Zea mays: one gene and its partners. Each later gene encodes a partner of the first gene's protein in a complex. Links are inferred from orthologs where the notes say so. Each region holds a gene or a part of one and is shown on either strand. Other genes may lie near its edges.

What was found.
Region 2: THO complex subunit 5B-like (region 1) and THO complex subunit 3-like share a complex: the UniProt entries of both Arabidopsis thaliana proteins name them as parts of the THO complex. The link is inferred for Zea mays from reciprocal best matches to the Arabidopsis thaliana genes THO5 and TEX1.
Region 3: THO complex subunit 5B-like (region 1) and THO complex subunit 6 share a complex: the UniProt entries of both Arabidopsis thaliana proteins name them as parts of the THO complex. The link is inferred for Zea mays from reciprocal best matches to the Arabidopsis thaliana genes THO5 and DWA1.

What each region holds. Positions count from the first base shown.
Region 1 is NC_050100.1:218,463,291-218,471,215, forward strand, and holds the start of THO complex subunit 5B-like, read left to right. Parts: upstream 1-3,016; 5' UTR 3,017-3,077; coding exon 3,078-3,308; intron 3,309-3,396; coding exon 3,397-3,687; intron 3,688-4,565; coding exon 4,566-4,902; intron 4,903-6,259; coding exon of another isoform or gene 6,260-6,262; coding exon 6,263-6,594; intron 6,595-6,729; coding exon of another isoform or gene 6,730-6,819; coding exon 6,820-7,067; intron 7,068-7,407; coding exon 7,408-7,925. UniProt on the Arabidopsis thaliana protein: Acts as a component of the THO subcomplex of the TREX complex which is thought to couple mRNA transcription, processing and nuclear export.
Region 2 is NC_050102.1:86,885,565-86,893,427, reverse strand, and holds the start of THO complex subunit 3-like, read right to left. Parts: upstream 4,000-7,863; 5' UTR 3,975-3,999; coding exon 3,855-3,974; intron 3,067-3,854; coding exon 2,971-3,066; intron 2,351-2,970; coding exon 2,221-2,350; intron 1,726-2,220; coding exon 1,637-1,725; intron 1,085-1,636; coding exon 1,016-1,084; intron 1-1,015. UniProt on the Arabidopsis thaliana protein: Acts as a component of the THO subcomplex of the TREX complex which is thought to couple mRNA transcription, processing and nuclear export. Contributes to the integrity of the endogenous trans-acting small interfering RNA (ta-siRNA) pathway.
Region 3 is NC_050102.1:102,981,412-102,989,263, reverse strand, and holds the start of THO complex subunit 6, read left to right. Parts: upstream 1-3,853; 5' UTR 3,854-3,992; coding exon 3,993-4,238; intron 4,239-4,323; coding exon 4,324-4,433; intron 4,434-4,927; coding exon 4,928-5,004; intron 5,005-5,570; coding exon 5,571-5,616; intron 5,617-6,088; coding exon 6,089-6,149; intron 6,150-6,277; coding exon 6,278-6,331; intron 6,332-6,480; coding exon 6,481-6,561; intron 6,562-6,659; coding exon 6,660-6,699; intron 6,700-7,852. UniProt on the Arabidopsis thaliana protein: Acts as a component of the THO subcomplex of the TREX complex which is thought to couple mRNA transcription, processing and nuclear export.

The DNA.
Region 1 (7,925 bases):
CTTTGCTCCTTTGTTGAATCCAATATTTGATCTTTTTAATTGGCTTGTTGTGAACCTTTGGCACCTGTATAACTTATACACTAGAGCAAACTAGTTAGTCCAATTATTTGTGTTGGGCAATTCAACCACCAAAATTATTTAGGAACTAGGTGTAAGCCTAATTCCCTTTCAGCTGTGCCTCTTCATATATAGGGATAGGTTTAGACCCATTCTTAGACGTCCCCCAACAACATCCTTGTATTTAGTTGGATAAACATGTACAAAAAACACATATATCTTGCCTGCCTACCGCGGACCGTCTGAGCGAACCCGTGGACCGACAGAGTAACAATGCTCAAGATATTGATCTTGCTCTCAACAACACTCTCTCTCTAAAGGTTTATAATTGTGTCTCTACACAACTTAGAGAGAAATACGCAAGAGAGGGAGAGCAAAATGATTTGCAATGAGTCTACAAAGTATTGCTGCACTTGGGAGTCTTCGACACACGTAGATGGACGCCTAGGGGGTCCTTTTATAGACCCAAGGGAGCCCCTAGCCGTTGGTTCTTCAAATGGGAAGCAATCAACCTTCCCTGTCTGCGTGTGCACCGGACTGTCTGGTGCACACCGGGCAGTGATCGTAGCTGATTTATTTCCTTTCATGATGAAGCCGACCATTTCCACCCTTTGGCCACTTGGCATACTGGACAGTCCGGTGCGACTTGATAACCGTTGGTTTGGCTGACGTGACCGGCGTTGATTACGCGACCGACTGTTGGGCAGGCGTGCGGTTGGCGCACCGAATAGTCTCGTGTACACCGGACAGTCCAATGATTTATAGTTGCAGCGCCCCCAACTACTTCCCAAGAACGGTCTGTTCACCGAGGCATCAACCTGGGCACCAGACACTGTCTGGTGCTCCCAGACTGGTGCAACTTATTTACTCCAATTTGTCTTCTTTTGGGATGATCCCTGGCACCTAGACACACATAGTTAGCCACTAAAACAATTGACTAAGTCTTGTGATCATACCTCTTCAATCCAGGATTTATAATCTACTTTAGACAGAGCTTCAGAACCATCAAGTCAACTTGACTTGATTTAGATTAATACACATAAGCTCCAACACCTTGCAAAGGCTACATAGGACATATACAAACACATAAACAACCCATACTAAAGGTCAAAGTAAACTTAGCTCTTTTGGACTGCTTCCAGTTCTGATTTTAACACTACTCCTTCTAGTGACCTTGTTCATTTATCGAGTTTGATCTTGAGCCTTATGACTTACACCACATATTGTAGACGTTATCTCGTTGGTTGTAAGTCATGTCCTTATGTAGTGATCCTTGATGCACCATAACTCTTATTAGCTCGATCAACCTTTACTTTGCAAGTCTTCTTCACCCGTGGCTTTGGGTTCCTCGGTTTCCTTGACCTTCTCCCGTGCAATCGGTACCTCGAAGCTCTTCTTGCCTCCATCCTTGGCTTGATCGGTTGTATCTGAGTTACGCACACCGAGTCTCACTTAAGCATTGTCCATCTTACATGTGATGTCCATTGTCTATAGATATTCCCGTCTTTGGACCATCACACTTGTTCACTTGTATTGAACCCTATTAGCCTTGCATTAAGCACCTGTTCAACAATTAGCACACTGGTTAGTCCTTTAATTGGGTTGTCAACCAAACCACCAAAACCCACAAGAGAGCTTTCAGATGTAAACCTCGATAAGTTTTCAACGATTTTTGGTGTTTTTTGTCATTTTCAGACTTATACGTGAATTATTTTTTGTGTAAATTTCGATTCACTAGTGCTTTTCAACCGGATTTCGGTTCTTTTTCATCAAAAAGATCATTTAGCCATGTAAAAGTTTAATTTTTAGTACATTTTAGTGTGGTGTATATATACATTTACACATGTCATTGTAAAATCCAAAATACACAAGTATACATAAATTAACACGCACTGCCCATATAATTTTCATATAACATATATATCCCTTGCACAGACTACTCATCAAATATATACACATACATTGAAGAAAACCAATAATCAAGGTGATGGTGGTAACAATGATAATGGTAGCCATGGGGATGATGGAGACGACGACGATGGTAGCCACGGGAATGGTAGAGGTGAATGTGATGTTGGAGCATATGGTGCTAGGGGTAGGCATGCCTCCCAAGTTATGGGACACCTCATCCACAACGATGTCATTCGTTTGCAGACCTATTGATGATGGCAATCACAGACAATTATCTCTAGTTACAACTATCCGCCTCGACGTGACCAATACCTACATACGTATGGCAAGGATTACTAGGTGAACTACAATCACCATTCATGAGTACTTGTTTTTATTCATATATGTATAGGAAATTAGTCAAGAAATGCGGATTTTGATTCTTTGAATTTGAAAACGTAAACCATTTAGGAAAATGTAAAATCCAGACAAATTTTGGTTAATTTTCTGTTTTCGGAAACGAGCGAAAATTTGGTTAAAAAACGGGATGAGTAACCGTGACTCTGTTTTTGGTTAAAAACAGGATGAATAACCGTGACTCTGTTGAGTAGATTCCAATTATTTTCAAAATGAAGCGATACAAACGGTCCTCAGACCGTGTCCAACAATTCACCCCTATGGTCACCTAAAAATACTGTTTTGCACTATTTTATACTATTTTGCACTGCAGACTATCTCGTTCATAGAGTGAAGTTTGAATATATGTATGAGGATGTGTAAGCTTATAGAGATAGCCTTAGAGGTTGAAATGAAATTTCTTTTTAAAAATTGATGTGCCACTAGGTTTCGATTTTTGAGTTTTTTATAAAAGTACAGTCAGAACCTGATTTGGTAATAGGATTACTTGAGGATAAAACTCTTGCAGAGTTCAGATTAGTTTTTTTTCTAAAATAAAGAAGTTACTTCCTACAGTAGACGTGTGGGCCGAGAGATGTTCTAACTTGTAACTTGTCTCGGAAACAGCGGCCCAGCCGCCCAAATATCCCAAAGACGGATCCGACACACTTCCGAATTCCGATCCACCCACTTCATCACCAAGGCCGTCGTCTCTCCCCACGCCGGCCGAACGGATGGCGGCGGCGCCGACTGCGGATGCCATGGACGTCGACGCGCCGGCTAGGACGCTGACTACCTCTCCGGCCACCAAGTTGCGCTCCCCTCACGACCTCCTGGCAGAGACACGCGCCTCCATCGAGAAAGTCGCAGCCCGGATACTCGCCATCAAGAAAGACGGCGCCCCCAAGTCGGAGCTCCGCGAGCTTGTCACTCAGATGTCTCTGCACCTCGTCACGCTACGCCAAGTACGTCGGCGTCGCGCTCCAAAACCTACCCCACATCCAAAACCCTACATGTAGATCTGCTGTGCTAAGTTGAGTTTGATCCGCGCAGGTGAACAGAGAGATACTGATGGAGGAGGACAAGGTCAAGGCGGAGACGGAGGCCGCGAAGGCGCCGGTGGACTCCACGACGCTGCAGCTGCATAACCTGTTGTACGAGAAGAACCACTACGTGAAGGCCATAAGAGCGTGTCTTGACTTTCAGACGAAGTATCCGGGGATAGAGCTTGTGCCCGAGGAGGAGTTCCAGCGTTCCGCGCCCGCAGACATCCTTGAGAAGACCCTCGCTGCCGACGCCTCCCACGACCTCATGCTCAAGCGCCTCAACTTTGAGCTCGTCCAGGTTGCGTATTGCTATATTTTGCAACCCTGTAGGAACTATGGAACTCTACCTGCTGCCAATTTGCTGTACTCTGTTAGTCTGTTTGGTTCCCTGTTTGAGGGACTTAAATATGAACAGCCTACATTTTGAGCTATGGTAGCTGTTGGTAAATTACATACCACTTTAAGCCTAGCATACATGATTCTTTTTGGAGAATTTATAATTTAGAACTATACTCGATAGTGGATGAAGTTACACCACCGCTTGCTTTTGATGCAAATCATCTGGTGTATTGTTTCTTGACAAGCTGATTTTTCACGCATTTTTGGATAAACTGTATTCTGCTGTGCTTGAACTCCGTTTAGTTTTCAAATTCTATGAAACTTACTAAAATATTTGCAGTCACCTGACAAACTTATTGTTGGCTATTGGCTTGATAAGCTGATCGTATCACACATATTTTGCTGAATTATATTGTGCTCTGCTTCAACTTCTTTTAAAATTTACATCTTATTCCTAGGAGGCTAGTTGAGTTTTGCACTTACTATAGTATTTGGATTATTTGTATCACTATTAAGTATTACCTAATAATAATTGTAGCATAATGAAAATTTCTATAATCTATTTTTAAGAAGACTGCACATATATTCTTCATTGTGCTCAGGTTGTTTACCATCACTTTTGCTCTCATGTCTTAAGTTGATCACCATCCAGTCACATGTATTCTTTTGCTATTGTGTTGCACCTTTTATATTTCTTTTATTTATTTCCGCACACGGTTTGAACATTTTAAGGACAGTAGTTCTATACTCTATTAGGTGATGCTAGCGTTCTCTCATTTGCGCTGTTTCCATGATTTCATTGCTGGCTTCTAAAATAGATTTTAAATTGTAAACCAGAGGAAAGAGTTATGCAAGCTACATGAGAAATTAGGACAACAGAGGGGCAGCTTGCTGGAGACAATTGCTAATCAGAAAAAGTTTCTTTCAAGCCTGCCATCACATTTGAAATCATTGAAGAAAGCATCACTGCCAGTGCAGCAACAGTTGGGGATGCAACATACCAAGAAACTAAAGCAGCACCATGCTGCTGAGTTACTTCCTACTCCGCTTTATATAGCATACACTCAGCTGCTAGGGCAGAAAGAAGCATTTGGAGAGAATATTGAAGTAGAGATCGCGGGAAGCACAAAGGATGCCCAAATATTTGCTCAACAACAAGCCAAGAAGGAAAACAGTACGTATGCATTTGCTTGATACTCCTTCCATCTACTCCATCTGTTCTGTTATACCAGGATTATTCTCGTTTTTAATTTTGGCCATAATACTGGACGGGCTGGAGTATCAAGGGCACTTAATTAGACCACTAAAAACCGAAACGTCTAATGCATGTGAATAGCCCAGCGCTGAAGCATGCCATGCATGTAGTGGCACCTTCGGTTCATTGAATGAAGGCATGGATGCAAACGTGGCTTGTATACTGCTGAGCAGGAACTGAACAATGGTTAGAGCATCCCCAATGGGCTAGCTTAGAGCTAGTTGAGACCATTTCGCTGAATAGTGCAAAAGACAAGAGGCTAGCGTGGAGTAAAGAGATAGTCTCACACGTTTCACGATGCCCCTCTTTCTCACACAATATGATATAAATTGCTATTGGCTCTCTCTTCCACGTTTGCTAGCTTAGAGCTTGTACTAGCTCATATTGTTGGAGATGCCCTTAGACTTTGTGGTTAGGGACACAGATGACTATGTGAGTTAATATGATTTGCATGTGATTGAAGGTCTTGGTATCTATAAACATCCTTATCACGCTTGGTAAAAGGGAATGGAAGGACTGGTATTCACATGCGTACTGGGTCTGGAAAAGTATCCGGCATGTACAGGCGCAATAGCTATTTGCATGCAGTTGCATGCGTTGTTTCCTGTTTACGTGCACCCACTCTTCCTGTAATCCTGTATGCAGTTATTGTAACTCCTTGTTTACCCAGTCAGCGGTGTGCAGGCGGGAATCTGGTCATTGTGGGAGCATGCGTGTTGCAATAAGCATGGCGACACATGCATGCAGTTATATTGTGTGGCATGCAAGCTGGCAACTGCTTGAAACTGAAGCGTTTTTGCGGCTGTGAGGTCCTGGTGAAAATTGTTTAAGCGCCTGTGAACACAAGATGTAGGGAATATGTCACAGCTATGTGTCCTTGCAAAGTTGTGTTTATCTGTTCTGTGTTTCTCTATTCTTGTTTTTATGTAGAGAATCAATGATGTCCTCATAAGAACCTATGATTGATGGTACAGTCTCTATAAATTCTTTCTTTAGGTTACCGTGTTGAGGTTGGTGGCTTGGTGCTTTGGGACATTTAACGTAAACCAAACAGCTTGTGTTTAGTGTTGCTGCATAGCAATCTTTTCCTGTAGGTTGTGGTCTATTTTAATATTCCTAACTGATAACAGCATTCTTGTAGTGCATAGTTGCTTAATTATTCATCTTTTTAAACCAGAGTCTAGAGATAAGTAATCTTTTGTCCATTGCTGGATCTTCTGTTCTTAAAGCTTCATGGCAGGCTTGGAAATTAGTGTGTCTCATATGTATCTTGTAGCAGGCACTCTTTCAAGTGGCGACAACAGAATGGATGATGATGTGATTGATGATGAAGAAGATGCTCAGAGAAGAAGATCAAGATCCAAAAAGAATGTGGTGAAGGAAGCTAATAATCCAGCAGTGGCCTATCAACTTCACCCACTTAAAATTATACTTCATGTATATGATACTGAAGATTCTGGTAGCAAACGCCGTAAACTCATCACCCTGAGGTTTGAATACTTGGCAAAGTTGAATGTTGTTTGTGTCGGAATTGAAGATTCAGAGGGTCTGGACAGTAATATCTTGTCCAACCTATTTCCAGATGACACTGGTTTAGATCTGCCTCACCAGGTATGTAATTTAATTCGAAGCAGATGGTTTTGATTGCTAGTTACACCATCCTTATGGAAGTTTTGGTGTTTGTTTATGTACCTACCTGTTTTTGGTTTATTTCAGCCTCACAGGCCTTTAATGTGATTTTAGCAGGGATATGTTTTGTTACTACATCTGTATCTAGTATCTTCTTGGGGCCTCTCATTTACGTCAGCTGAAATAGTGACTTGTCAATTTTCTCAGATGGCTAAGATTTATGTTGGGGAGGTTCCAAACTTCAGCGACAAGGATTCAAGGCCATACAAGTGGGCACAACATTTAGGTGGTATCGACTTTTTGCCTGAAGTGCCTCCATCTGTTGGGGATGATTCTAGCAGAGCATTAAACACTGCTGATTTGTCATCTGGGCTTGCTCTGTACCGTCAGCAGAACCGTGCACAGACTATTTTGCAGAGGATCCGCTTGCGGAAAGTTGCACAGATGGCTCTTATGTGAGTCACTGGTCTATGTTTTTTGCTGTTTGGGACATCGATGAAAAAAACCGGATGGCAGATTAGCCTGAGAGTGACCGTGTAATTTGACTGACGATTTTGAGCTAATGATGCTTTTGCTTCATTGCACATGTCATTCTGAGTTATGGCAATACTATGAATCATTTACCAGGCAGAAATTGTGAAACATACCATTTATATCTTCTTCATATGTTCTCTACATATTGATTCAAAGCTAATTATTGGCGACCTTCATTATAATGTTATTCATGACTGTTATATACATGGCCTGTTTGATTGGTAGCATCCCTTTGAAGTTTTCGAGTCTCTTTGATTACAGGTGGCAACTTGATTATTTGACAAAGCTGAAGTGGCCTCGAATAGAACATAAGAATGCACCATGGGCATCACGCAACCCACTGTGCAGTCTACATAGTTGGTCATTGACAAGTTATCCTGAGTCATCTCGTTCTATTTTGATGCTAAGTGGTGCTGCAAGCAATGTTGACAGTGATGTAGAGAGATCTGTGACAAACTGGGAAGAAACTGAGAGTATCAGGGAGGATGGGGAGCTTCCAGTTGTTATTCCTGCTGAGAATGAGCCAAATGGTTCTACAATTTTGCAACCTGAGGTGTCAGCTGAGATCCGGAGCCATTCTAGAGGCTTATCTCTTATATCAAAGAGTGCAACACCATCTAAGCTAAGCATCTCACGAAGTTTTGGTAGAAATGAGGACGATCTTGATCTCTTGATGTATAGCGACAGCGAGTTGGAGGACCAGCCCTGCATTCTTGACGAAACTGAAAAAGCTACTAGCCCGATTAGAGACAGATTCTGGGAGGAGTATGCTTCCAAGG
Region 2 (7,863 bases), on another chromosome or scaffold:
AGGGAGAGGCCAAAATGGCAAATCAGTCCATCCCCCCACCCCCAGGTCTGAGTAGGTGGCTGAGTAGCAGGTCCTAAGTTTGACTCCCTATGACAGCAAATTTTATACTGGGGTGAAAAAAAAACCTCATCTGCCGAAAGGTTCATGATCAGCAATACACAAATTAAAATAAAGTATACGAGCGAAAGGGCCTCTAGCTGAGTTAGCTAGGTGGTTTGAGTTCGATTCCCCATGAGAGCGAATTTCAGACAGTGTTAAAAAAATCCTCTTGTCTGTCCCATGCCAAAATATAGGTGTAAGGCTTGGTCCTGGTCGTGGTCGTTCTTACATGGACTATGGTGCCACTGTGTATGGGTGGAGCACTGGAGCAGGTGTCCGGAGGTTTTCTCAACATGTGTGAGGTCTTCTTCTTAATACAATGTATGGGGGTTGTCTTATCCCCCGCAAGTCAAGTTTTAAAATAAAGTATATGTTCAATTATTTGCTAAATTCATACAGCAGTACCCATTTACTCAAAAAACATCCATACATCAAATTGTCTCAGACAAGCACACAAGAACAGTGCTGCTCATTTTATTTCTACAAGGCGAAAGGGTCTCTAGCCGAGTTGTTTAGATGCTCTGAGTAGCACTCCTCAGGTCCTGGGTTTAACTCCCCGTAGGAGTGAATTTTCAGGCTGTGGTTAAAAAAAACCCTCGTTTGTCCCACGCCAAAGCACAGGTCTAAGGCCCAGCCCCGGTCGCAGTCGTTCTCACATGGGCTACGGTGCCGCTGTTTATGGGTGGAGCAGGGGTTCGAGGGTTTTCTCGACCTGCATGAGGTCTTCTTAATATAATGTCATGGGGTCTTAATATAATGTCGTGGGGCGGTCTTACCCCCTCCAGGTCGAGTTTTTATTTTATTTTATTTTATTTCTACCGACATGTATATGTGCATCCTAATCCAAAGAACAGTTGGATCAAACAAAGAGTTGTTAGAAAATGATTCATATATCCAAGCTTCAATTTATAATTACCTCGTAAGTAGACTTGTGTTTCTTAGCAACTTTAAGTGTCCTAACATCCAATATCGTCAGCTCATCCTCCTACAAACCATAACAAAACTGTTATTGTAGACATATAAATATATAATTTGAAAAAATTAGAGTTTCAGTAATTTGTAAACATCATATAGATACAGTTTTATTAACCTTATATGATTCCCCTCCCCCCTCCCCCAAAATGCATGTTTTTCACAAATTACTTAAATTATTTACATAGATTTCTCAAGCTCAAGAATATTTATCTATAACCAAACAGAATAAAACATGTCACAGCTCCATCTAATTGATTAATTAATATGCCTATATGTACAACTTTAGGTGCATAATCCAATTCTATATTCTATATTGTTATGATACTGCCATACTGGTACAGGATTCAGCAATGCAAAACTGTAGGACTTCCAGAAAAGAAACACCAAAATAGCAATATGGCTGAACTTTTTTAACGTACTTGCTGAAAAAGGTATAAGCCAAAAGTGACAGTAGAACAATCCATCTTACTGTAAATAAATAAACCTAACCACATTAATATAGGTCAGTTTTCTAAATGTATCCATTCTTGGCATTAGCAGAGAAAAGTTAGGCAGTACAAACCTTGTTTCCAACAGCTATCTGAGTGCCATCATGTTTATATGTGATGTTGATGTTTTCTCCACTAAGTTCAACAACTTGACATTTTCCACCTAAAAAGACACAAAGAAGCATTGACGAGAAGATAAAATCATTATAACTTGATTGACAGAAACTACCACCAAGAGTCCAAGATAGAACAAAAAATACAACATATATCATCTGAAAGCCAGATGTCACATATGACAAAATAGCTTCCAGATAAAGTTATTACATAATAGATCTTTCCACATCAAATTTGTTGTAAATGTGGGGTAATGTAGGAAATAACAAAGGGCCTGTTTGGATCTTATCAGATTCCAGGTTCGAGCCTGTAGAAGCTAGGATGGTCTCCAAACACCCACCATCTTCACAAGCCCGCTTCCACAATCTCAAAAGCTGAATGAACTTCGCTTCTACCAGCTTATAGAAATTTATATGGATCCAGATGCAGTCAAAATAAAAGATGTATTTCATAGATTTTAAGAAGTATAATGCTAAATGCATTATGAAATGCTAAAGAAAAACTGTGCTTTCTAGCAACATCATGGATGAACTGTGCTACTTACTTCGAGCATCCCAAAGACGAATAGATTTGTCAGCAGCTGCAGTAGCAACTGTATCAGGATGATTTGGATCCCAGCAAAGCTGATCTACACTATCTGTGTGGCCTTTCAGTTCAATATCTTTAACCTTAGACTGTAACAAATTAGCACAAGTTCCCATTTAGATCTTTCAATGGTATAGAAACATACGCTGAAATTACACTCTCTGGCTCTCTGCTACCAAATAGAAAAGCATAGAAAGGGCTATTATTAAGAATCAAGGTAATATACTCTAGTTAAAAGTTATTCAAAACTCTACAGCTTACTCTGAAGATTCCATCGGTTCAGAATAAAACCACGTCTCGTGCTACAAATTATGGTAAAGGTTTCGTTGCACTATAAGAACATTATATGTTGAGTTACACCACAATAACTGATAAACTGAAAAGTAAATTATATTGCGCACAAGCTAAAGAAACAGGAATATTACTGTAAAGTACCTGTCACAATTTCTGCAATAGCCAAAGCTTGAAGTTAAAAGGGAGGTGCAGATGAGAAGCATTTGTCCCTCTTTGGCATATCACGCAAACTAATGCTTTCTTAAGTTCAATGTCATAACTTATTATCTAGGTTCTATAAGATAGGGAATATACCAGTTATGCAGATTTTCAAAATTTACCAAACCGATCATTATCTTAATAAGAAAACAGTGGGGAGCGTATCCCATTCTGTAAAGATAAATTTGGTACCAAGGACAGAAGGAGAGAAAGTTACATGGACATGTGGATCAATGCTCCAGACACGTGCGGTATGATCGATCGATCCTGAAGCAAGCTTTGTGCCTAGGCAGTTCCATGCTACAGAGTGCACCTAATGATAAAAACTATCAGAATGGTGAACACAATGATAAGATTACCAAAGAAATGCATAAAACAAAGCAAAAATAAGAACCCACAAATCAATCTAAATTTTGTACCGACAAGTACTAGGGTAGAGTGGTTTTGCTTTGAAGATCGCTATGAGGAGTTAAGGACAATTAAGCAACACATTCAACATAATGTAAGAAACAAAGAAAAAACATCCTCAGAATGTCATATATTCATCCTGAAAGAAAGATCATTCCTTCTTATTTCTCCTCATTGCAACTTTACAACATGCCCTAAGATAATCTCAAATTTCTTTATAGAACCAGAGGAAAACTGCTCTTGCTCCCCTGCAAGGACAGGCACCACGGCCCCTTTGCTGCAACAAAGGACAACCAAAATAGATTGCCTATTGCAACTAAATTCATTTGCAACTAACTGTGGCTGCAGCAATATTTCGTTTTCATCATGCCTTAACATTGACTCCTTTCATGCTCTATATAAAGAGAAGAAATAGCTAAATCCCCTCTCCACGCTTATAGCTTCGAATCGAAAGCAAGATAGGTCCACGATCCCATCTATGTTCTCAGGAACCAAACCGGAAGGCCCAAAGATTGTTACTTCCGCACCTTGTTTCATCATTCTGCATGCAAGGCCGGAATTTAGGGCCTCACCCTACGAATTGCAACCCTAATGATTGGAACTTCGAAACCTTTCTTCTGGCGAGATTCTGGGTTTTATAGGGGCTCAGAAGAAATTATAATGGGATATTGGGGAGGCGTTGAGAGGTATTACCTTCTTCTTGTGGCCGTAGTATTCCCTCGACACCAGGTCCCTTAGATTCGCCCCAGGGGTCGAGCCGCCGCCGGCGGCGGCGCCACCGCTGCCCTTCCTCTCCTCCTCTCTGCTCTCCATGCGCTCTCGCCCCGTTTTGTCCGGGAGGGGAGTAATCCAATTCCAATCCCAAAGTACACAAACTAGCCCATGAAGAGATCGGGCCAGGCCTGATGGGCTAGGCTACATTAAAACATTCAGCAACTCAGGTCCTGTTTGTTTAATATGATCTAGGCCCATGATTCCATAAGCTACCAACCTTCATTTTGAAAGAAAAACCTATTCCTTAACTGTCACACCCGTTTCTTTGAGACAGAGCCGGGTGCATAGCATATGTGTGCCAGGATTTATTTTCACACATATATTGACATTACAAGTGTAATATATTAAAAGAATGATACATAAGAGCGTAAATAAAGATTATATTAACATGTTACACTTCGAACAGACATAATGTCTTAACCTTTATTCATCAAAGTACAGCGAAACATGGACATCCATCCACAGGAAGATGACCGGGGGTATCAATAGACTAGCATCCATGGAGCTCAGCATCATAACTTCATCTGCAAACTTCTGATCAAAATTTAAGCAAGGGTGAGCTCACTTATGGTCAGGGCTCAGCAAGTGGGGGAAAATGCAAGGTAACAAGGTAAGGCTAAAGTTAAATGCGATTGGCATTTTAGTTGGTCAACATTTTATTAACAACACTTGTCTTACTAATAAGTGTGAATCCCAAGTATTCCCATTAAACAAAGGTATAAGAGTATATCAAAAACACTTAAGTGAAACCACTTAAGCAAACCATTGGCAGATCATCGGATCTCGATTTATTTCCATCTTCAAGTTCAATTATCATGTGAGGAGTCTAGGCTGCTCTTAACCGTGAGCACAGCTGATATATCAGTTTTACACTCTGCAGAGGTGGCGCATCTTTACCCATGAGTCACGATCCCCTTCTAGCTTGGGTTAGCTAGACCTGTATTCACTTCCGAGGTGAATGGCTAAGGTCTCACTACGAGGCTTTTCCCTAGAGTCCTCATTATGCAAATGCTGGAAATGGTCAAACTGCATAGAGCACATCTAACGTAACCAACTTATAGTCCAGTCTGCAGGGTAAAGCTTTGGGAATTATGCATGTATCCAATCTGTCTGAGCCAGAAATATAAGCGCTTGCCAGATGCCCCCGTTCCGGTCGACCACGACCAGCACCCAACATAAGACTTCCCTAGTTATTTAGCCAAGGGCGTCCCATACCACCCTCATGGTAGCACTGTTTTCCCGGGTGGTCACTTCATGTTCCAATTAAATCATATGATCTTGCTTAATCGTCGGATTAGCAACAATAATGTAAACTTACCAATTGGAACCTTAATATCACAAATCGGAGTGACTGCATAAAGTTAAGTTGTAGCAATAGCATAGCTACGAAGGTAAAGTATAATACCCAAGTTTGATCAAGGAATATGGTAGAAAAGGTTAGGTGTATCCGAATAGGTAACCCATCAAATTATGCATATATATCTAAGTTCTTAAAACCTGACCCGGTTTGAAACACCGACCGCATTTCACGGGTTCGGCACCTAACGTTTACTGACGCGTGGCAGTACAGCATCGGACGCGCCAACATGTGCCCCCCTCGTGCCCTGCCTTGCCTGTGTCGCCAATGCATGCTTTCTCTCTCCTCGTGTCGCGCTCCCAGACACCGCTACAGTGCGCACCCACATGCTACAGAGCTTGGTGTCCGGTGCAGAAACCAGCTCAGGTCAGGCCTTGCCTTTCGCCGTTCGGTCGCCGCGCATCCGCTATAGCGTCGCATCTGCCAACTATAGTGACCAACGTCTGTTGCTGGCAGGTGCTCAGGTCACGCCTCGCAGGTCGCCATGCCGTCGCGGCACGCGGAGGCATGGGCACGGGTGTATGGTTGTCCTTCAGTCAGGCGAAGGTCGCATTCGACCGCGAGCCCTAGCCTCCGCTTGACACCATCCGTGATTTGTCCCCATGGAGGCTGATTTGACGCTGCTGTTGTGCCCCCTGCTCTAGCGCGGACCACAGGCAGCTTCCACTTTGAGAAGATGTGTTGGGGTTCGTCCTCGCCAGCCCTGAACGTGACTGTCCTCTCTGACCACGACGATGCGCGCCTTGACAACAACCCCACGTCTAAGCAGTGTCGCGGCATGGACACAAGGTTCGTACTTTCTTCCCTTTTATTATCTCCTCCTCAGTCCCCCTCATCCTCAATTCGCGTTTTTGTGCCCTACAACTGAAGTTTCCCCCAAAATCGCCTTCCTTAGGCCTGCGATTTTCCATTCTTTGTGTGTCGTATCCACCGTCGCCAAGGGATTTGCCTGATGTGGTGCTCGTAGCGTTCATGACCTATCTCTCGAGAAGGCCTCCCTGGGTGCAGGTTCATTTCCATTCTCATGTTAGTTCGCTTGCCAATTCAGAGCTGCCTTTAGGATTTCTCATGCATGTTTACTAGAACTGGTAGATTAGTTCATCTGCTGCTACTGCCATTGTTTCCTCTAGAGTTCAGTTTTTTGGCTTTGTATGCTTCGTTCGTGCCAGGAGCTTAGGGAGGCTACAATTTGTGAAAAAATGCAATTTCATCCAGTAGTGAATCAATCTGCATACAATTATTACCTCCATTTGTCTGCTAGATAAAGTTGTCCTTGGCTTTGATTTTTTAGATTGCAGGGTACATACACTTATTTCAAAAGAAAAAGGATTTCTCCATCACGAACAGTCTGATGCTTTGCCATTCCCTCAGGATGTAAAAAAATGTTTTCCTCAGCTTGAAGAGAAATTATGCTTTGTCAATCGCTTTAACAACTAACTAATTTAGGACCCCCTTCTTCGAGTTCTATTTTTTAGTGTTTTCTCTTTCTGAAGTGAAATAAATATCATGTCTATTTTTTGTAGGACTCGTGCACTCGAAATCTATAGCTTTTAGAGTCTTTGTTGTGCAAATCTTCTTACAAAACCTATGGTTCTCTGGAACACTCTTTAGCATACAAAATTTTTTATGAAGGTTGTCTGATAGACAAAGCTATCGGTGACCCTTTTCTTGCTTCTTTGTAAATGCAGAGTATGCCAACTTTTGTCAAGAAAATAAAAGTCAGTCATCACAAAGCAACCCACTACTTAGTCATTCCCTTATAGTATAAAGCATAGAAATATTCTTAGTAGCTTGGATTAAAAATGATGGTTTGCTAATCACTAAAACAGATAACTAATTAAAGCCCTTCTTCTCTCATTTCCCTTGTGCTTCCATTTTACTCAAAAGAATATGTGATGTTGTTCAAGGGAGTACTATTTCTAATCTGATGGAGGCATGTTTGTAGCAGGCATCCTACCATTGATGCTCCTCTACATCATGCTTCTAGGAGTACTGAAGTTCTGCCAGTTGGTTATGGCGACCAAAGAACGAAAATATGCTTATAGGAAGAGGCAAGTTTTATCAGCAAAAATTGTGCTCCTTCTTATGCCTACTATATAACAGTCCATTTGTGAATAAATACGTCAACACTTCTAAATCGTCGCGCTCACCTAGCAAGTTGGCTGTGAAGAAGTTGTTCACTGATACAGGTTATGGGAGCGTCGTTGGCTCAGGCAGTCCAGACAACACCGTCAGGTCCAAGTAATTATTTGCTTCTATGACAGCCATATGTTATTCTTGATATCAAGGTTTAAAGGGCACCAAACATAGACAGTTTCACAACTTTTCAGTGTAGCAAGCATGTTGAGTTGCAAAGAGAGGATTGCATGCATTTTGCCGTCACAGTTGCAGCCATACCTTTTGCTACACCGTCGCCACCTATTACTACTATTTTGATGTTGCTATGTACATAGGCTTCAAAAGGGATATGTGGTCCATGTTCATGCCTGCTCCGTTGCCTAAATTGGAGACACACGACCTTAACAGGGTATGTGTACTTTAGCTCTTGTGTTCACAACGACATATGACATA
Region 3 (7,852 bases), on another chromosome or scaffold:
CCCTAGGGCGGTTCAACCGGTCTCCCCTTGAAAAATCAAGTCAGACAACTACTTTTGAAGAGAGCCTATATATAGCCCCCACACCTATCTCTTCATAACTACTGGTCACACACACATTCATTGCACACCTAATTTGAGACAAAGGCACACTTCTTCCTCTCACCCAAAATTGCTCTCGATTCAACTCGATTGAAGGAGCCCTTTGGTGTGAGGTTTGTGCTTGTGCTCACAGATTTGGTTTTCCTCTCCCGTCTCACTCTAATCTCTTGAGCTTGTTGCAAACACCTCTTGTGCGATTTTGTGTTCTTGAAACCCTAGGGTTTTAAGATGAATTGAGGTTGCTTGGGAGTCTCCAAATTTGTGGACGACCCCAAGAAGTTTGTATTCTCCTCTCTTGTGAGCAAGTTTGAGAAAAAGAATCGCTTGACCTTGGTGGTCGGGTTGTGGAGGATTAGGATTGAAAAAGACCCTGCCCTTTGTGGGCTCCTCAACGGGGAGTAGGACACCTTTGTGGTGTGGCCGAACCTCAGGATAAATCTTGTGTCTTGTGTTCTTGCTCGATCTATGATTGTGATTTTATTTGGCAAGATAGACATCATATAGGTTTACTCGCCGTGTGGATCTTGTGGTGAATTAACTCTCGTATTTTCACCATCCACGCTTAGCTTATCTCTCGCGTTTTCCACTATAAGAGATCCATCTTCTATTTTCTGCACAGTTCATAGTCTAGATTTATTCTAGCAGTTGAACTGGTTCAGAGTAGTTCAACTTGCCTTTATTACAGTTGAACTGGCCTGCACCAGTTGAACTGTAGATTTAACATTATCTCGAAGGTTCTGGTGATAATTTTCAGGTTTAGCCTATTCACCCCCTCTAGACTACTTTTAGTAGGCATCATATCCTTCAGGAATTTTTTGATACGAAAATCCTAAATTATGGGCATACTGGTTTTTACCCTATTTCTTAAATGTAATCCTAAACCACCTAGGAGGAACCGTGTTAAGAAGAGATAAGCAATTGTGCCTTGTCTTCTGAAAAGATAAAAGGTGTTTGTCTTTCAAATCTAGAAAAGACAGTTTTCTATTATGTCACATAAGTCCAACCTAGAATTTAATCATTTTTTGCACTACACATGCAATGAGAGGTGAACATAGCAACCAGTGTGGAACTACTTAAAGGTCTGTTTGTTTCAGTTTTTTTCTGACGAGCTTTTACGAGAATTTGATTGTAGGGATAATATGGATGTGAGGAGAATTTGAGTATTATGTGGATTACATGCGAAGGAAAATGAAGGGGTCCATGGGGTTTAGGATCTAGGAAGTGATGGATTCCTCCTGTCGCGACGACTCGACCGATTGTGTGTTCACGTTAATTTTGAACAACTTTCATCAAAGCGATCCTCATAGAAGCGAACTGAGAAGCTGAGCGTTTGGTAGTCCGCGACAGCTTGTGACAGCTAGAATCAGCAAAAAAGCTGAAAAACAAACAAACCCTAAGATGATGGAAGAGCAGTTCCCTTGCCATGACCAATATTTTATCAAAATACATAGCACAAGCTATGTGGCTAGAAAAAAACCAAAATATCTTATAACTTGGAAATGGAGACTTAAAAATGTTGGCTAGGACATTAGGCTATACTTACAGCCTCCTCACTTGTCATAGATAACTTCATTTGTGTTCTATAGACTATTTTAATGCATGTCACTCCTTTTTTAGCAACTGCATTTGATACATGTGATTATAACCAATGATGTGGAATGTTTTGTTTGCAATTTAGGAAGAAAACAATTTAGAAGTTCGAGTGTTCTTAGATTTAGTGGATGATAAGAAGTGGAAAATTTGGGAAGAACACAGGTAAGTGTGTGTGAGGATAATTTAATTCACTCCCATATAATGTGTGCAAGTGTACAAAATAATGAATTAGCCTGCCATGGTTTGGGCCTGTGTATATAAGGTTCTCGATACAATATGCATGTTTATTTTCATTTCTATCAGCTGATGTATTCTCATTCCTATCGGTTGATGTAACAATGAGTAATATTTTTATATTCTAGAATTCATGGGTTGGTCGATAGTGCAAATTTATTGGCCCGAAATCACTTGCCTCTTATTCCACCATGGTTATCTCGGACTGCCTACTTAGTTTAGTAGTTTGAGGAATTTCTAGCGGGCAACATGTATAAGTGTCTAGGGTTCGGTTGGAAATTGTCAATTCATGTCGCATAAGAATATGTGCGATATTGATATCAATTATAATATATGTATTGTTTGTTTTCATGTAATCGTTGTGCACTAACATTTTATCGAATAATTTGTGTGTCGTCACAACGCACGAGCATTGTACTATATATTTGAAGCACCAGCTGAATCGACATATGATCCATATGCGTTTGTATAACCTCATATATGTACTCACACCTACATGTTAATTTGGTATCTACAACCATTGGAAACAATGCCTATGGGTATCACCCTAGTGATAAATCGGAACATGCTCATAGCTCAAGGTTCAAATGTCATTTTTTGGAAAAGATGTCCATGAAAAGAAAATTAACAAATAAATAATCTCAAATCCAATTTAACCTTAAAAATCATTAGAAAAAACTACATTTATATTTAACTAAAACATGCTCTATTATTAGATCCAGTTTGAAGTTATTTGGGTATTTTATGGGTTCATTATGATGTTTATTTTATAGTAGTTATTCTTCTATCTATAATACTTATAATTGACTTGGAGGAACTAGACTTCATATAGAAGGGTGACCTCAACGATTAGAGAAGTGTTGAGGAGAGCTTTTGGTCGAATATCTATATTTGATGAAAATTGTTGCTTTAGTCTATTTTCAATTGGCTACCTCCGAACCATGTGTCTAAATCGGAGGCTTAGGTCGGCTCTCCATCAAGAAACGACAAGCCAAAGGAGAAGGAAGAAATGAAACTTTAATAGGATTGAACTACCTTAGTACGTTATCGAAGGAGGAAGAAAAGGTGTATACAACACTTCTTCCCTAAAAAAGACATAATGTTAGTCTCTAGTTGTACATAGTCTTCATATAGAGGAGTGGACATTCTTTTTCTGAGTTGGAATGTGTGTAATCTTGATCTTATAAATAAGTGTACAATGCCACTGTTACAAGGGTTGGTCACTTGTATGTCTAAGCCTGTAGCACCTTCGTGCACAAAGAGTATTAGAAGGTATGTCATCTTCAAGCACTTAAATCAGTTTAAGAAACCTTCAATACCTTCCAAAGGTTTCATAACTGCTATGTATTCCTCATCTTTGTTTAATCCAATAAAGGAGAAAGGAAAAATGTAGACCCTTGTAAATTGAATACATGCTTCGTCTACGTTATTTAATGGTACATTAGAACCCATCAAAGATAAAAAAGAGAGAGACTTTACTTTAATTGTGTTGCCCAGTTGCGTTTTTTTACAAAAGCTTCAACAAGTCACCAATAACAAATATCTTAACTAGCTCATCAACTAAGCACTGCATATGAGGTCATTACATAACACTCATAACATTGTCGAAGTCACTTTGCCCTTGCCTTATACAAAATCCATGTCACCATAATGTATCCATAGAAGATTCAAATAACTCCACAAAAGATTCTAGAAAAAGAATTCAAAATTGTTTCATATTTTTGTCGAGCAAAACCATATTTTTGTGTGAATTAGACTAGATTTTATTTTTAAAAAATTGCATAACTCCTAAGGGAGATGTTCTCAAGAAAACCATATAAATATTTTTTCTTATAAATTTATTTGTTTAAAATCATAAGGGAGCGTGCCACAAAGGCTTAAAGCATTTTGATGGAAAAGTTTAAAGATGGGCCAGAAGCCGGCGGAATTCTAGTTGAAAGAAGCCCAGCCCAACCCGCTGTCGCTTTCACTTTTCTGTCGGGAACTCGGAATTGTCCCCGTCTTCCCTGATCCCTTCGCTCCCCGAAGCAAAAGCGCAGAGCGCATCAGCGCAGAGTAGGACAGCCATGGCGACGGCGGCGGCGCAGTCCCATCCGGCATCGATGGACGCGCGCCGGTGGGACGAGTCATCGTACCGCCGCGGCATCCTCCGTGCCCGCGACCTCTCGTCCCGCACCCTCTTCCGTGCCGTCTTCTTTGACCACAGCGACGACCCGGATACCGACATCCTACTCGCCGCCGCCTCCAGCGACGGCTCCCTCGCTTCCTTCTCCCTTTCATCCTGCATCTCCGCATGTTCCGCTACCTCCCAGGTTCGTACCCTTTGGCCAGAACTGATTTTTTGGTGACGCACGCCCAGAGAGGCGTAGAGTGAGTTTTTCTTGGTCTGGTTCTCAGGTGGAGACCGCCGCCACTCTGGTAGATCCTGTCTGCATCGTGCAAGCGCACAGCGGACCTGCCTACGACGTCAGGTTTTACCCCGATCAACAGCAGCCGCTGCTCTTCAGGTGACTGACAGAATGTTTGACTTGGCATGTTTCATACACATGGCTAGTTACTAGTTGAGGCTAAAAATTCGCTTAAATTAGCTGTGGTTAGCTAGCTAGTTGGCTACCAACTAGTTGAAGACTTGGCTAAAAAAATTAACCCACCAATTTGCCCTCCTGTTCGGTGGATGCGCTAAAGCTAATTTTGGCTATTTCTTTAGCGCTAGCAACTAGCCCTTGTATCCAAACAGGCTCTTATCCTTATTGACTTCTCCAACTAGTTGAAGACCTGGCTAAAAAAATAATCCACCAATTTGCCCTCCTGTTCGGTGGATGCGCTAGAGCTAATTTTGGCTAATTCTTTAGCACTAGCAACTAGCCCTTGTATCCAAAGTTTCCAAACAGGCTCTTATGCTTCTTGACAATATTACCCATGGCAATGTGCTTCATTTGGTTGGAGACGGTGATGGGTTAATGGTTGTGCGGTTCTTTGGCTGCTTACTTCCTTGTGGCAGCTGCGGGGACGATGGCCGCATCAAGGGTTGGAGGTGGCACGAGATGCAGAGCTGCCTTGTCCCGCTCTCCCTGCAAGGTGCTGCATTCGAACTTCCATTCTTTTTTGACGTGGTTTCTTTCATAAATGGTCATATGCTTTACCAGGCCACTAGGGCATTGCGATGCATCTAGCACAGGTGCACCGAAAAAATATGCACATTTTTTACAATGGTGTAGGTTTGATGCAGGAGAAATCATGAATCATGCCCTGCACTGGCATAGATACAAATCTAGAATCTTGCCAGTGCAAGGCATGATTCATGTGAAAATGTTTCATAGTTGCTACTTATTTTATCTATGAAGATGCATCAATATCTTTTGTAGTTTTTCTGTGTGTTGCGCCTTGAAGGCCAAGTTAATATTATTTCAGTTTTTTTAATAACCAGTATAGTTGTATTGATAAAAAGTGAAACAAGGCATCTGTTGTTTTTCGTACATGAGAAAAGGTGGAAGGAACGAGCATATGTTGTTTTTCCTATAAAGGAGAAAAGGGAGAACAAACGAGTATCTGTGTGGAAATGCGCCGAAAATTGCCTAGTGCATCTTCTACATTTTGGTCATTGTTATTGCTTTTACCAATTTTTCTGTTGCCTTTGTTCACAGGGGATCATCTGGAACCAGCACTTGACTTGGTCAACCCTCAGCACGAGTAAGGATTCTGTGATAAAACTGCAATCTCAGACCTTCCAGTTTACACCGTTTATTCCAGCAGCTGCCCCCCCCACCCCCCCCCCCCAATTTACCCTGTTTGCATTGTTGCTGCTCAAGGTTATTAAAACGATAAAACGCTCATGGGTGAAGTTTTGACTTTTAAACAAAGTTTAAACTTAGTTTTGAACAACATAGGAAAAATACCAATATATCATAATTTCAGACAATAACATGAAGTTAAATACCAAAATAGAGAGGCTAGTGGCTTATCAAAACTTCACCCATGAGCCAGATTGGACCCTAACTAACAGACTGGGCCCAAAAGTAGCTAATGGTCTAAAACACATAAAACACTGCGTTTTACAGTTTAGAACGACAAAACGTGGTTTCAAGCTCTAATTAGCGTTTTGACGTTTAAACATAGTTTAAACGTAGCTTTAATAACATTGTTGCTGCTGGCAATTTTGTAGGGGTCCTTGGGGTGCTCGATCTCCAGTACCTGAAAACAATGCCATTGCAATTAATAAACAGGTTAACAACTGGAACTTTTCATGTTTTTATATCCTCCAGGAAGTGTGACTGTCCCAAATTTTCGTTCCTCATGCATATTGCTTGGTTCAACAAATCTTATTTTCTGTTATCATCATTCTTCCAAACAGGATGGATCCATTTTGGCAGCAGCGGGTGATGCATGTGCTTACTGCTGGGATGTGGTATGTATTTTCTTAAGGTAAATTGAACACACATAGAAGGAACTGCAGTTCTGCTTTAGAGTCTTTAGCATTACAAGCTTGGATAATATCAATGCTCTGTGCTTGAGAAGGTATCTGAAACTAATGCTAATCATGACTGCTTCTCTCAGGAGACCAGTAAATGTAAAATCACATTCAAGGGGCATGCTGATTATTTGCACAGCATTGCAGTTCGTGAGTCAAACCGCCAGGTTATTTGATTATCTTGGCTTTCCATTATTTGATGTTCATCTTGTCTATAATATGTACAATATGTGATATGTTACTAACTGACTTATTTTTTGATCAGGTTGTAACAGGATCAGAGGATGGGACAGCTCGTATCTGGGGTGCGGGTTTCAAACCATCATCCTTTCCTGTCTTGTGCATTGTATTTTTTTTTTCTCGAAAGAGCGCAGGAGGACTGCGCACCCATATATTAAAGTAGAGGGAAAATAAAGGGCCATAAGGACCCAGGTACAAGCACTCCTTATGGAGGCCAGAAACAAGCATACACAAAGCTATCCATAAAACTGGACAAAAAACACTACAGCCCTAGGAGCTAGGTAGTTTGGCTGGCCAAAAAGGAAAGCCCCTTGGCACCAGCCAGCCGCCACGTCTCCTGTTCATCCTCAGCAGCTTGAAGAAGGAAGGAGATAGAGGGGGTCCTTCCATCGAACACCACCTTGTTTCTATGATTCCAAATCATCCAGGCCCCTAAAGCAACAAGGGAGTCCAGTCCTTTCTTTCCCATGTTGAGGACCTGAGCCGAGGAATTCTCCCACCAACCAAGGAAGGAAGGCTCCACTTGCTGAGGGGATAAGCTGTGTAACCCAAACTTTCTCAAAAGCCTATACCAGAAAACTCTTGAGAACACACAGGAAACCAGCAGGTGATCAATGCTTTCAGGTTCTTGATCACAAAGAGGGCACCTAGCCGGATGGTTCATGCCTCTTTTCTGCAGCCTATCAGCAGTCCAGCATTTATCATGTGCCACCAGCCACAGGAAGAAATGGCACTTGGGTGGCATCCAGGATTTCCAGATTCTTTTGTGGTGAAGAAAGGAGCACGATCCCTGGAAGAGCCCTTCATAAGCAACTTTTGCTGAGTAGTTACCATCTGGCGCTATGGAAAAAATGTGTCTGTCTTCAATATCAGGATGTAGCTGAAAATCCGTTAAAGCTTCCCAGAGATGCAGAAAATCAATCAAGGCCCCTGCTGAGAGAGCGCCCCTAATATCACTAATCCATCTCCTATTGTCCATTGCCTCTTGCACTGTTCTTTTATTGGCAATTCTTTTTGATATGGTGCAGAACAGTCTTGGTGCAATATCAGCTACCTTTTTCCCATTAATCCATTTATCCACCCAAAAAAGAGTATTCGCACCATTGCCAACCTCTGACATCAACACTGCAGAGAAGAAGGACCTGGCAATACTTGGGACCTGAATGGGTAGGTCCACCCATGGCCTCGAAGAATCAGTTTTTTGCAGCCACAACCACC